Tamandua tetradactyla: one gene and its partners. The protein of the gene in region 2 binds, or shares a complex with, the protein of the main gene of each other region. Links are inferred from orthologs where the notes say so. Each region holds a gene or a part of one and is shown on either strand. Other genes may lie near its edges. The genes, in order: LIN52, TFDP1 and E2F1.

Region 1 (3,743 bases), on a different chromosome or scaffold from region 2:
CTAAATATCCCCCAAAGAGTGGGTGAAGGATCAAAGGAGAAGGAAGAATTGTATCAAAGAAGAGAGGATTTAACAAATGAGTATAACTACTGAACCATTATACTGATATTCTTTTTAGTCTCCAGTGTCTTAGGGCAGCTAGAAGGAAATATCTGAAATGGTGGAACCATAATCCATACCAGACTTTTAAATTTGTTCCAAAACTACTTGTTAAAATGTACTTTGAAATGTATCAATTTTTTGCATGTATATTTCACAATAAAAATGTTTTTAAAAATGAATGCAGGAGGAATGCCCACTATTCAGCATGGAGGCAGAGGTCAATAAGCTGGAACTGATGACCATGGATCCTTAAAGGAAATCCTTCTCATCAGAAAACTGTATATAGATACAAAAAAAAATTGCTAGGTATAACCCAGGATTTGCAGATGACCACATGTTAAGAACATCTATGTTTCAACAACTGCCAGCTTTTCAGAATTACAGAAAGCTGACTCTGATCTTGATTACAATCAATACAGGCTGGAATATGAAATCAAGACCAATCATCCTGATTCACTAGGTGAGAAAAATCCAATTATTCTCTTAAAGGAATTGTCAGCAATAAAGTTTTGATTTCGGACTTTACATGCACGCTTTAAACCAGCTGCTGATAAGCAGAAAGAGATGAAGAGCTGCATTTTTGCTACTTTGAATAAGACTAAGACCTTATGAATAAAGACTATGACAGGAAATACAAAAGCAAACAAACCTGGAGCTGTTATCACTGACTGAAGAACAGGAAAGTGTGGCAGAGTAATTAAAATCTCATATACCAGACTTGTGAAGAAATGGACTTGCAAAAGGGAACTCTAATAAAGGAAAGATAAATCAGCACTTGTTGACTAGAAGTTAGGGTGTGCTGGTGAGGGAGAAAGTTTGTCTTGGGTGACTGGATAATAATATATTTCACAAAAGAGGAGAATAAAAGAAGGCAATCATTACCTGAATAAAATTCAGACAAAAGGACTGAACAGGAATAGAGGGATTTAAAAAATAAATTGATGCAAGACCCCAACTCTCTAAAAGAAAACAAAGTACAAAAGCATATGGGGGGCGGGCCACGGTGGCTCAGCAGGCAAGAATGCTCACCTCCCATGCCAGAGGACCCGGGTTCAGTTCCCGGTGCCTGCCCATGTAAAATAAAATAAAATAAAATAAAATAAAATAAAAAGCATATGGGTATACCAAAACCACCCAATTGCTTAGGCAACTTAGGCAACATATAAGCAGAAATTTATTAAGTTACTCAGCCTGAGGAAACAACAAAACAAAAGCAAGAGATGATGAGACGCGTGCAAGATTATACTAAAAAGCTCAATTCTCATTTTCCTCAGGACTCTCATGGTTAGGGCCCGAGGTCCCTCGCTTTACTTTGCAGGCAGGGCAACCGTCCCAAACAGAGACGATGGGAGACAATCACGTTTCTCTTGTGGCTCAATCCCAGGATGAGATCAACCACTAATCCCAGCAAGGGCTTGACAGAATCTTTCAGGATGTTCAATGAGAAGAGAACTGACCCTTCAAAAGAGCGCCTGAGAAAGACAACTACAGTAAGGCACCTCCTTTCCTTTCCTCCAGCAGCATCTCCTCCTAGGCCCTCAGCCTTTCTCAAACAGGGGTAAAGGATGAAGCGATACCCGTCCTTTTGCCCGAAATAGGTCCCTCGCAGATGCCCTACTCCACCGTTTGGTGTACAGCGGGGAAACTGGCACCTCTGGAGCCGCTGTGGAGAACCCGCGAGCTGAAAAAGGAGACGCATCCCAAGGAAAGGAGTGAAAGGGAAAGGAGAGAGTTCCAAGAAAGAAGTGTAAGCTTGAGGGTCAGACGGAAAACGGAAGCTTCCTAGTAAAGGGGGTTGCAGGCGAAAGATCTAAGCCGGCTCTTACCGTCAGTGGGAGACGCCATCTTCCAACCCATGTCACGTGACGTGGCCAACCGTCGGCGGGAAAGCGAGGATCATGAGCCACGCCCCCAAAGGGAAACCCTATCCCCAACTCGCAGCCCGGACTCGTTTCCCCGCCTCCTAGGGCAATCTTTGATTAGCCCCGCCCACCACTTGCTAGCCACGTCCCTCATGCAAAATTCTTGGCGGATCTTATTTACTTTCCTCAGTGATGGGGCGGGGCCGCAGCTGTGCGTATGACCAATCAGAGTTCCGGGTTAGGGGGGCGTCTTCCCCGTGTTCTCGCTATAGACTACTCCTGTCAGGGGCGTCTTCCTTATCCCTGCCAATTGAAGTTGCTGAGGCGGGCTGGGGGCGAGTTCTTCCACTATTGACCAATCGTGTATCCCCAGGCCTGGTATTTAGGGGTGGAGTCAGAGTTCAGGGTGCGTGATTGGCTAGGAGAAATGGCCCTCTCTGCCAATGAAGAGGTCCTGCAGATGGAGGGGCGGGGTTTGGCCCCGGTGGCACTTCTGAGGATCTGCACCAGCAGCAGAGGAGCAAGGAGACGAAGAAGAGGCCTAGAGCCATGGCGGTGGTGGCTGCTGCGGCGGCATTCCGGGCCCGTATCCTGCAGGTGAGTGAGGGACGAAAGATCGCGAGTCCAGGAATTGGATCTTTTCCGTCCACTCTCTCAACCGACCTCGGACGGGCAGACTTATTGGCCCAGCTTCTTGGCCGAGTCTCGTGTTCTCACCTGACCTGTGCGGCCGTGTTCCCCCACCCCCACGCCTCGTCCCAGCTCCAGTCCTGGGCCATCACCCCTAGTTCCCCGCCCTTCTACTCCTGATCCTCCCGTTTTCTGGCTTCGGCCCACTCTGCTCTTCCACCTCTACCCCTTCCTTACCTTCACCTTCTTGCCCTTACTTCTCTAGTTCTCCTCACCGTCTTTCCCTTCCACCTTCGCGCCTGCCACCTCTCCCAAGAACCTTTAGAGCTCTTTCTCCTGCTCCCTTTCCTTCATCGTACCTATCCGAGGTAAGAGGGGAGCTGACACGCGAGGGGCGATGGTCACTGAATGAACGTTTTTTAAATTAAATTTTTTTTTATTAGAGAAGTTGTGGGTTTACAGAATAATAATGCATAAAGTACAGGATTTCTATACACCACCTCACCATCAACAGTTGCATTGGTGTGAAAAGTTCGTTACAATTGATGATAACACTTTTTACTGAATGAACTTTGGATATCCTTCTAGAAGTGTCCACTAGGTTTTCACCAAAACCAGCCTTGCTAAGCGTCCCAGCTGTGGCTCTTTGTGTATTCCACAGGCCTTTTCTTGCCAAGGCTTTCACTGAAACTTTCTCTCAGGGAAGTTACACTTTTCACGTTGGAGGTAAATAAGGGCCCGTAGTTATGCTATCAGTATGTTGCATGTTCACTCAAGGGTCTAAACATCTCTAAAGCAATGTGATAGAGGGAGCCAGGGAAGACAAGAATTGTGAGTTCCTGTCCCAAAGTCAGCTCTTGGAGTACCAACATACCCTCAACTTCACCCATGGGAAAGTGGATCCTCTGAAGATAAGCCTAAGGAGAAGTAGTGAAGCTACAAGTGCTGCAAGCCCGAGTCTTATGGTGGCCAGCTCTATCCGAAGCCTTTCCCCTGTTTTTCAAAGCCTAGTGAGCATGCATATTAAGGACTTAGAATATAAGACAAGATTTACTGTAGGCAAAATTCTCAAATCTGCAAGAAACAGCATTACCTCTCTTGTTCATTCACCCAGCCTGGGAACTTCCTCCATATTGCTGGACTTTTAAA
Region 2 (3,743 bases):
CGAAGTAAATAGCGCCCTTCTCTGCTGAGCATCAGAAAAAAGGTACAGAGCCAGCAACTACTGAGCTCCCACGACATAACTATTTTGTATTCTCCATCTCGTTTAATTTTGTATTCCCCCTCTCTATTTAATTAAGGAATGCCTTAATAAATATATTCAAAATTATAAATTTAATGCAGTCTGAAAAGATTAAGAAAAAGTGAAATTAATATCATTTAAGCACCACATAATATTTATCATCAGGCATTCATGATTACAAAAAACACAAAGGGAGAAGTCATACATCTTCACGTAGGCTACTAGATTTCTTTGTTCTTTTTCACCTTTATCTTGTTTCATCTGCTTTAAAAGTTTAAAAACAAACACTATTGTAGTTTATGTGCTGTCACTCTGCAAAAAAGTGGGAAAACTACAAAGAATTTAGTACTTCCTTACTTCTCACTATTAAAGCTAGGTAAGTATTTATAACATGTACTTACATCTTTTGCCATGTTACCAGATCCGTGAAATCAATTCTCTAAGTGTTCGCCCTCCAGAGAAGAAACAATGATTTTTCTGGCAAACAAAAAAAGAAAGAAAGAAAGAAGGAAAAACAAGAAATGAATAAGAATAAAAAAGAAGTCAGTAAATAAAATATCACATCTTACAGAGACATTTTCCCCACCACCACTTCAACTGTGCTTCCAGGAAACAAGAACCTCCTTTCCTAATTGCATACCCTTACTCAATCCTGAAAATAGAACAGTCAAAACTCATACTTACGACTTTAAAAGTCATTTCAGCAACTGAAAACATACTTTAAATTGACAATCCCATATACAACCAGGATGCAGAAACTCCATTATCCAAAATCATTGCCACTGTACCATAACTTTTTCCCAAGATCACCCAAAGAAGCAATGGGTAAAAACCCCTGAACACACATGCCTGGATTACCTTCACATTTCTAAAGCATTCACCTATAACATTAATTATACCAGTAGGTACATTCATCTCACATATCTCTACCCTTCGCCAACCGAGGCACACACACATATGCGCAAACCTAAGCTGCCACATATTCACCCAACAGGAATATAACTCCCTTTTATGTCCCTGCACAAAGACAAGTACGCAGGGAAATCCATCCCAAAAGAACTCTTGAGAGGGTCTTCTCTCCCACCGTGGTCAGTCTCCAAGTGGCTGATTCAAGCCTGGTTAGACTGTTAACTCTGACAGGTGGGCTTCCAGAGGCACCTTAGCCAGTCCCAACCGCTCGAAGCCCCCCACCCTCAACCTCCACGCCCCCAGCCCGCCCGGGTCCCTGACCTGTCACTAGGCCTCAGGAGCCACCTCCACCGAGAGGAGCCTCCCTTCCCCCGCCCGCCACCGGAACCGGCAGTCCTCGGCCCGGAGCTCCCGAAAGGACCAGGTCGGTGGAAGGGTCAGCCCCTCCCCGTCCCCTCCCGAAGGCTCTCGCTGCAGGCCGGAGCGGATCCGGCCTCCCGGGCCCGAGCGCGGACGGCGCGCTCGGGCCCGGGACGGATCCGGCTGCAGTTGCAACCCAGCCGCCCGCCACCACCCGCGCCTGGTGCACCTCCCGGCAACAGGCGCCCCCCGACCCCCTCCCCGTTGGCCCCGCGTCCCCGGGCGGGCGAGGGGCGCGCGACGATGCTTATCCGGGGCCTGAGGGCCTAGCTCCGGCCCTGCCGCCCCGCCTGCCCCAACCCGGGGACTCCCCGCGGCTGATCCGATCCCCCACCGTGCCCTCCCAGGCAACGAGCCGAGTCCCCCAACAGCCCCACCACCCGCTCGCCTCGGCCGGGCCCTCTCCCGCCCAATCGCGTCCTACTCCCCACCCGCACCCCCTCTCTTCCATTCCACATCCTACAGCCGAGGTCAAGTCACCTGGAGAGCAGCTTCCTCCCCCGGCCGCCCACCCCCCCACCCAGCGAACGGCGGCGGCGAGCCCCGCAGCCCACCACCAACTGCAGCGGCTACAATGAGGCGCGGCGCGGCGGCGTGGGGGGTGCGGGGTGGGGGAAGGTTTACCGACTGCACATGTGCGGCGCACACAGAGCACCAGGAAAGAGCCCCAAGGAGACACCGAGCCTTGCGCGCGGCGCCCACACGCAGGCGAGGCGGGGGCAGGGCCGAGGGGCCGGCCCGCCGGGGACCAGTCCGGCCCGGGCTGTCCCCTCGCCGCTGTGGTCCCGCCCCCCGCGCCCGGCGGCCGGCCCCGACCCAAGCCCGCCCCACAACCGCCTCTCGGGCCGGGCGCCCGCGGACCACCCGGTGCCCCCTCCCTCCAGGACCAGCTGCTCGCCCTGCCCTCCGCCCCATCCCCCAGCTCCATCCTCCCGCGACTCAGGCGTCTCAACACCCAACACCCCCCTTCTCCATCCTCTCCGGGTTCCCGCCCCAGGGCATCCTCTTCCCTCCCCTCCGGCAGCCCCGGCCGCCCGCGGCCCGCGCGCACCCGCCCTTCGCCTGCAGCGTGGGGGTGGCCGGCGCCCCGCACCTGGCTCGCCCGGTCCACGCTCGCGCGCGGGGCTGGGGGCGGAGATGCAGGACGCGGAGGCTGAGGGCCCGCCACCCGGGTCCCGCACTCACGCGAGGACGGCGGGGGTAGGGAGTCCCGGCCGCCCTGGCCAGACCACCCTGCGCCCTCACTCTCTTCCCGCTCGTCGCCGCGACCCCGGGAGCGGTGGCACCGGGGGAAAAAAATTGAAACTTACACTTTGTACCGGGAGCGTCGAGCCGGCGTGACGTGCCGGGAGCGCGGTGACGTGCGGCCACGAGCGGCCCCATAGAGACTGGCCCAAAGTGTCAGTTTCACCCCCGCGCGCTCCGCCTCGGGGAGCGTGGCGCGCCTGCGCGCCGTTTTCGCGCCTTTGGCTCCCTCCCTCCCTCCCTGCCTCCTCCCGCCTGTTCTGCTCCGCCCCCGCCTGGCGCCGGGAGAGGGGCTCTTGTGGATGTTTCTGTGTGTGTGTGTGTGTGGTGTATCTGTGTTTGTGTGTGTGTGTGTGTGTGTGTGTCCGAGAGTGTGTGCGGAGGAGAGAAGGAAAGAGGAGGCCGGGCGACGAGCGTGTGTGGCAGCGGGTGGGCGCGCGGCGCGGAAGCTCCTTCCTCCCGCGGCGTGAGCTCCTGGCCCGGCACCGCGCGTTCGGCACCGCGGCCTCCTGGAGGCGAGGAATCTTCAGACACCCAGCCACCGCACGGCTCCACGCCCACGACCACCCTCCACCCAGCTCCTACACAATTCCATGCATCCTCGATGCCCACCGGGGAGGCATCCCGGAAGTGGGTTCCGAAGGGAAAACCAGGCAGCCCAGTTTCATCCTCTGACTGCCGGAGCGACCTCATCGCCGGTGGGGCTTGTTGAACCCTTATCTCTGAAGACGTAGTCACAACTTCGACCTCACAGCTACTAAGACCAGTGGGTGGATTCAGCCATAAGGGGGTGAAGAAACACAACAGAGGGTTGACTGGTGCATCTTGAGTAGAGTCGGAAGTTCAGTTCTGGATTAGGCAGCAGTGTCCAAGCCCTCCCCTCCCTACCTCGCCGCCTCGTAAGTGTGATGCATAATTAACGTTTGCAAAGCACTTTGAGGTGCACAGACCAAAGGCGCACCGTGTGCAACGTGTTATTACATTACACCCCACACACACCACTTAGCATGGTTTCACAATTTAGCCACTTTTATGCTGATTACACCCACTTCTGTTTCTTTAGTAATGCACAGATCCCTTAAATCTCTGTT
Region 3 (3,743 bases), on a different chromosome or scaffold from region 2:
TGTTCTGAGCCAGGCCAGCGTGCGGAGGGGGGCGCTGTTGGAGATCTTAGTCTGATAGGGGAGGCAGATGGAGAAACCAAGAAGCGTGATCAGTGCCTGAACAGAGAGGCAGCAACCGGCAATGGAGGAAGTGAGTAACTCCGACTCTGGTGGGCTCCCTGAAGAAGTGGTATTTAGACTGGACCAGGGGATTTGATTTTCGTTTGTGCCTTAGTTACTTTTTTTTCTTGTAGATCACCCACACCAAACAGCACTAGATTTGTACAAGTTATCAAATCTTTCACATTTCTGTCCCCAGTGTTGACACAAGGCCTGGCACAGTGTTGAGGACAATACTGGTCAAATGGACTGATATGAGCAAGGAGAAATGGCTGGTGGAGATGTCCCAGGGCTTCCGGATTAAATGCATTTTTTGTGCTCAGTATCCCCACCTCCTTCCTTTGGTTAGGTCCTAACATGGGGTCACATTAATGGCGGAAATTCCTCATCATGCTGTAAACATTTGCCACCTCTTCCTTCTCATCCTTTCACTAGACCGTGAGATCCTTAGGGCCAGTAGTCAAGGTCTTAAATAAGGATGGAGCACAAGGCAGGCTCTCAAAACGATTGTTGAATGAGCGAATGAATGAATGAGTTCAGGTAGAAGCTTGTGCATTGGCTATTGAAGGGATTCCAGCTAAGATGCGGCTGCAGGAAAGCGCCAGGTCCATATCGAGTTCTTCCCGGTTTCCTGGCAGCCCCCTCGGTTTGGGCTCTGACTGGGTAAGACTGACGGGATTGGGAGGAGCGTAGGACTTGAGAGTAAACAGCATAGGTGGATAGGTGGGGCAAGTTGAGGATGGGAAATATGTCTGGGGCTTTGGAGGTGGGCCTGAGAATTCAGAAAGGAGGAGGAGGAAGTTTCTGGAAATCTGGGCTGAGGTATGAGGGCTGCAGGTTGGGAGTGTGGGCTGCAGGTCTGGGGGTCATGTGCTATGGGGCTGCAGACGGAGACGTGATAGCAGCAGAATGGAAGCTCTACACCATGGTCAGCAGGACCGAGCGCGTGGGGCGGGGGTGGGGCCACCACGCCTTGAGCAGGGGCCGTCCGGGTTGGGGGCGGGGAGTGTGAACGCGCCGGGCACCGCCCCGACAAAGCCTGCGCGCGCCCCGGACCGCGATTGGCTGCACCGCCCCGCGCCGCCGCCCCGTGCAGCCCGTCGCCGCCGGCCCGGCGCGCTGCAACCAGTGGGCGCCGCCGCCGCCGTCTTCGTCATAACCCGGGAAGCCAATGGCGAGGGCGCTAGGCGGCTCGTGGCTCTTTCGCGGCAAAAAGGATTTGGCGCGTAAAAGTGGCCGGGACTTTGCAGGCAGCGGCGGCCCCGGGCGGAGTGGGATCCGGAGCGGGATCGAGCCCTCGCCGCGGCCGGCCACCATGGGCCCGCGCCGCCGCCGCCGCTTGCCACCCGGGCCGCGCGGGCCGTGAGCGCCATGGCCGTGGCCGGGGCCCCCGCGGGCGGCCCATGCGCGCCGGCGCTGGAGGCCCTCCTCGGGGCGGGCGCGCTGCGGCTGCTCGACTCCTCGCAGATCGTCATCATCTCTGCAGCGCAGGACGCCAGCGCCCCGCCGGCCCCTGCCGGCCCCTCCGCGCCCGCCGCGGGCTCAAGCGACGCCGACCTGCTGCTCTTCGCCACGCCTCAGGCGCTCCGGCCCACACCCAGCGCGCCGCGCCCTGCGCTCGGCCGCCCGCCGGTACGGACACCAGGGCCACTGGGCCAAGTGCGCAGCCTGTACCCCCGCGCCGACCCGGGCGGGGCGCAGTGTTTGGCCCGGAGGCAGCGGGGGGCGAGGGGAGGGGTGGACTGAAGCCCTCGGACTGGGCGGTGCAGAGCCTGGGTTGAGCCTCCGGGCCCCGCCCCGGGGTGCTGGGTGACCTCGGGCCAGTCCCTGTTTGCCACTCGGTGCTGTGGGCTTCACCATCCTAATCGGAGCCACTTGAGGGTAGACTTGGTGATAATAGTGGCCCACGTGTATGCAGCTGGCGCTTACTGCATGCCAGGCCTTTGGTTGAGCCTTTGGTGGACTTCAAGCCATCTAAAACCCACAACCACGCTGCGAGCTCGGTGTTGTCACTGTGCCCATCTGACGGAGGAGGAACTGAGGCTCAGAGAGGGGAAGTGACTTATCCCCATCACACAACTGGCAAGTGGTGAGGCTGGAATTTGAATTGAGGCCTGCTGGCTTCACACCAGGATTTGAGGTTGGGGAGTGAGCATGGCTAGCTGCGGAGGAGGGTGGGTGGGTCGTCCTGGGGTTGGGCTTTTGGGGAGCATTGAGAAGACTCACCTTCCTGCCTTGATGATGATCTGCCAGGTGCAGGCCTGGCCCTCCAGGCCCCTGGGGACAGGCTGCCTGATTGGGAGGCCTTCTCTGCAGGGGCGGGATGGCTGGGCCAGCTGCTGATCCCCTCCCTCTGCCTGTCCTTCCATCTGCTCCCCTCCACCCTCCCAGGCCCTGGTTGCCATGGAACCTCATTAATCAGGCAGGCAGACCCTTGGGCCCCTGTGGAAGGATGGGGTGGGTTGGGCCTCTGAGCTGGAGGCAAGATCCCTAGTGCCAGAAGAGAGAAAATGTCCCAGAGAAATGCCCTGATAGAGTCTTTCCTGAGCAACGAGAAGCGCAAGAGCATTTCAGACTGGGGGGGCCCAGACGTGGCTGGATTATAGCCGGAGAAAGGAGAGGAGCCCCGGAGCTTGGACCTGTGGGCCACAGGACAGGGTGTGGAGACCAGTTTGACTGGCACAGCCTGTGGGTGAAGGTGGGGCACAAACGGGCAGGCAGGGGCTGGCCAGGAAGGATGGGGTCTCACGGGGGCTTGGAACAAGTGGGAGGGGCGAGGCAGGGCCCAGGACGAGGTGGAAACCACCCAACCGCTGATGGAGGCGCGGGTGGCAGCTGGTCCCAGAGGCATCCCAGGAGCCTCCCCTGGCCCCCTTGGCCCCATGCCCAGTGCTGCCTTCCTTCCGGAATCACCAAGATGCTAATAATAATAACAATAGCAGCCACCGTTGTTGGGAGAGTATTTTGTATGCAGGCTCTGCGCCAAGCACTTTATCCAAATTAACTCATTTAACCCTTTTACAGAGGGGGACGCTGAGGCCTCAGATTTTAGAACTTCCTCAGTTACTTAGCTTGCTAGTGGTGGGACCAGACTGATGAATTCAGCAGCAGTCCAGATTTCCTGAGCAGTTAGCTGCCGGGATGCCTCGCCTCCTGGAGATGCTGTTGGAAGTTGAATGAAACCCAGGTTGATTTTAGGGGCCCTTCCTTCTGATGAGTGAGTGGGTTGATAGTGTACCAGGGAGGGTACATATGCTTCCTATACTCCCAGTGGCCTGGCCCCGAGGGTACCAGCTTGGGGCCTGGGCAGGTAACTTCCATCTTGCTGACTGAGAAGATCTTAACAGGCCCAGGGCTGCAGGGACAGTGGCAGAGCCTGCAGGGGGGATGGGCTAGGGGCTGGATGCCACCAGCAGCATTCATTCTGCAGCTGGTGAGTTAGTGAGGACAGCTAAGCACGGGGTCAAATGAGGAGACCCTGTCCACAGTGCCTAAGGGCCAGTGAGCATTTTTCTCCTGGAGTGTGTGAGGGGGAGGGGCTGGAATCATTCTGGAGCTGAAGTTTAGAAACATCGGCCCAGCCTTTGCTCTCCAGCACCCCCAACTCTTGCAGCTGTGGGTAGCCACTAGGCAAAGAGCTGTGG

Evidence for each region.
Region 1: TFDP1 (region 2) and LIN52 share a complex: the UniProt entries of both Homo sapiens proteins name them as parts of the DREAM complex. The link is inferred for Tamandua tetradactyla from reciprocal best matches to the Homo sapiens genes TFDP1 and LIN52.
Region 3: the proteins of TFDP1 (region 2) and E2F1 are in contact, whole or in part, in a crystal structure (PDB 2AZE), measured with the Homo sapiens proteins. The link is inferred for Tamandua tetradactyla from reciprocal best matches to the Homo sapiens genes TFDP1 and E2F1. Residues at the interface, in NP_009042.1 of Homo sapiens: Glu201, Cys202, Leu205, Glu206, Glu208, Arg209, Arg212, Leu213, Arg215, Ile216, Lys219, Gln220, Gln222, Leu223, Leu226, Ile227, Gln229, Gln230, Phe233, Lys234, Leu236, Val237, Arg239, Asn240, Arg241, Glu244, Pro251, Ser255, Val256, Ile257; in NP_005216.1 of Homo sapiens: Arg202, Leu203, Leu206, Thr207, Asp209, Leu210, Leu213, Gln214, Ser216, Glu217, Leu220, Asp221, Leu223, Met224, Ile226, Cys227, Thr228, Gln230, Leu231, Leu234, Asp239, Ser240, Gln241, Arg242, Leu243, Ala244, Tyr245, Val246, Thr247, Cys248.

The regions. Positions count from the first base shown.
Region 1 is NC_135338.1:33,069,819-33,073,561, reverse strand, and holds the start of LIN52 (protein lin-52 homolog), read right to left. Parts: upstream 2,300-3,743; 5' UTR 1,960-2,299; coding exon 1,929-1,959; intron 1-1,928. Other genes in the region: ALDH6A1 (methylmalonate-semialdehyde/malonate-semialdehyde dehydrogenase [acylating], mitochondrial), read left to right, coding at 2,514-2,561.
Region 2 is NC_135330.1:184,327,899-184,331,641, reverse strand, and holds the start of TFDP1 (transcription factor Dp-1), read right to left. Parts: upstream 2,838-3,743; 5' UTR 2,718-2,837; intron 2,708-2,717; exon of another isoform or gene 2,593-2,707; intron 2,524-2,592; exon of another isoform or gene 2,501-2,523; intron 2,161-2,500; exon of another isoform or gene 2,032-2,160; intron 1,910-2,031; exon of another isoform or gene 1,888-1,909; intron 1,446-1,887; exon of another isoform or gene 1,309-1,445; intron 556-1,308; 5' UTR 492-555; coding exon 480-491; intron 1-479. UniProt on the Homo sapiens protein: Can stimulate E2F-dependent transcription.
Region 3 is NC_135327.1:19,292,340-19,296,082, forward strand, and holds the start of E2F1 (transcription factor E2F1), read left to right. Parts: upstream 1-1,455; 5' UTR 1,456-1,470; coding exon 1,471-1,731; intron 1,732-3,743. UniProt on the Homo sapiens protein: Transcription activator that binds DNA cooperatively with DP proteins through the E2 recognition site, 5'-TTTC[CG]CGC-3' found in the promoter region of a number of genes whose products are involved in cell cycle regulation or in DNA replication.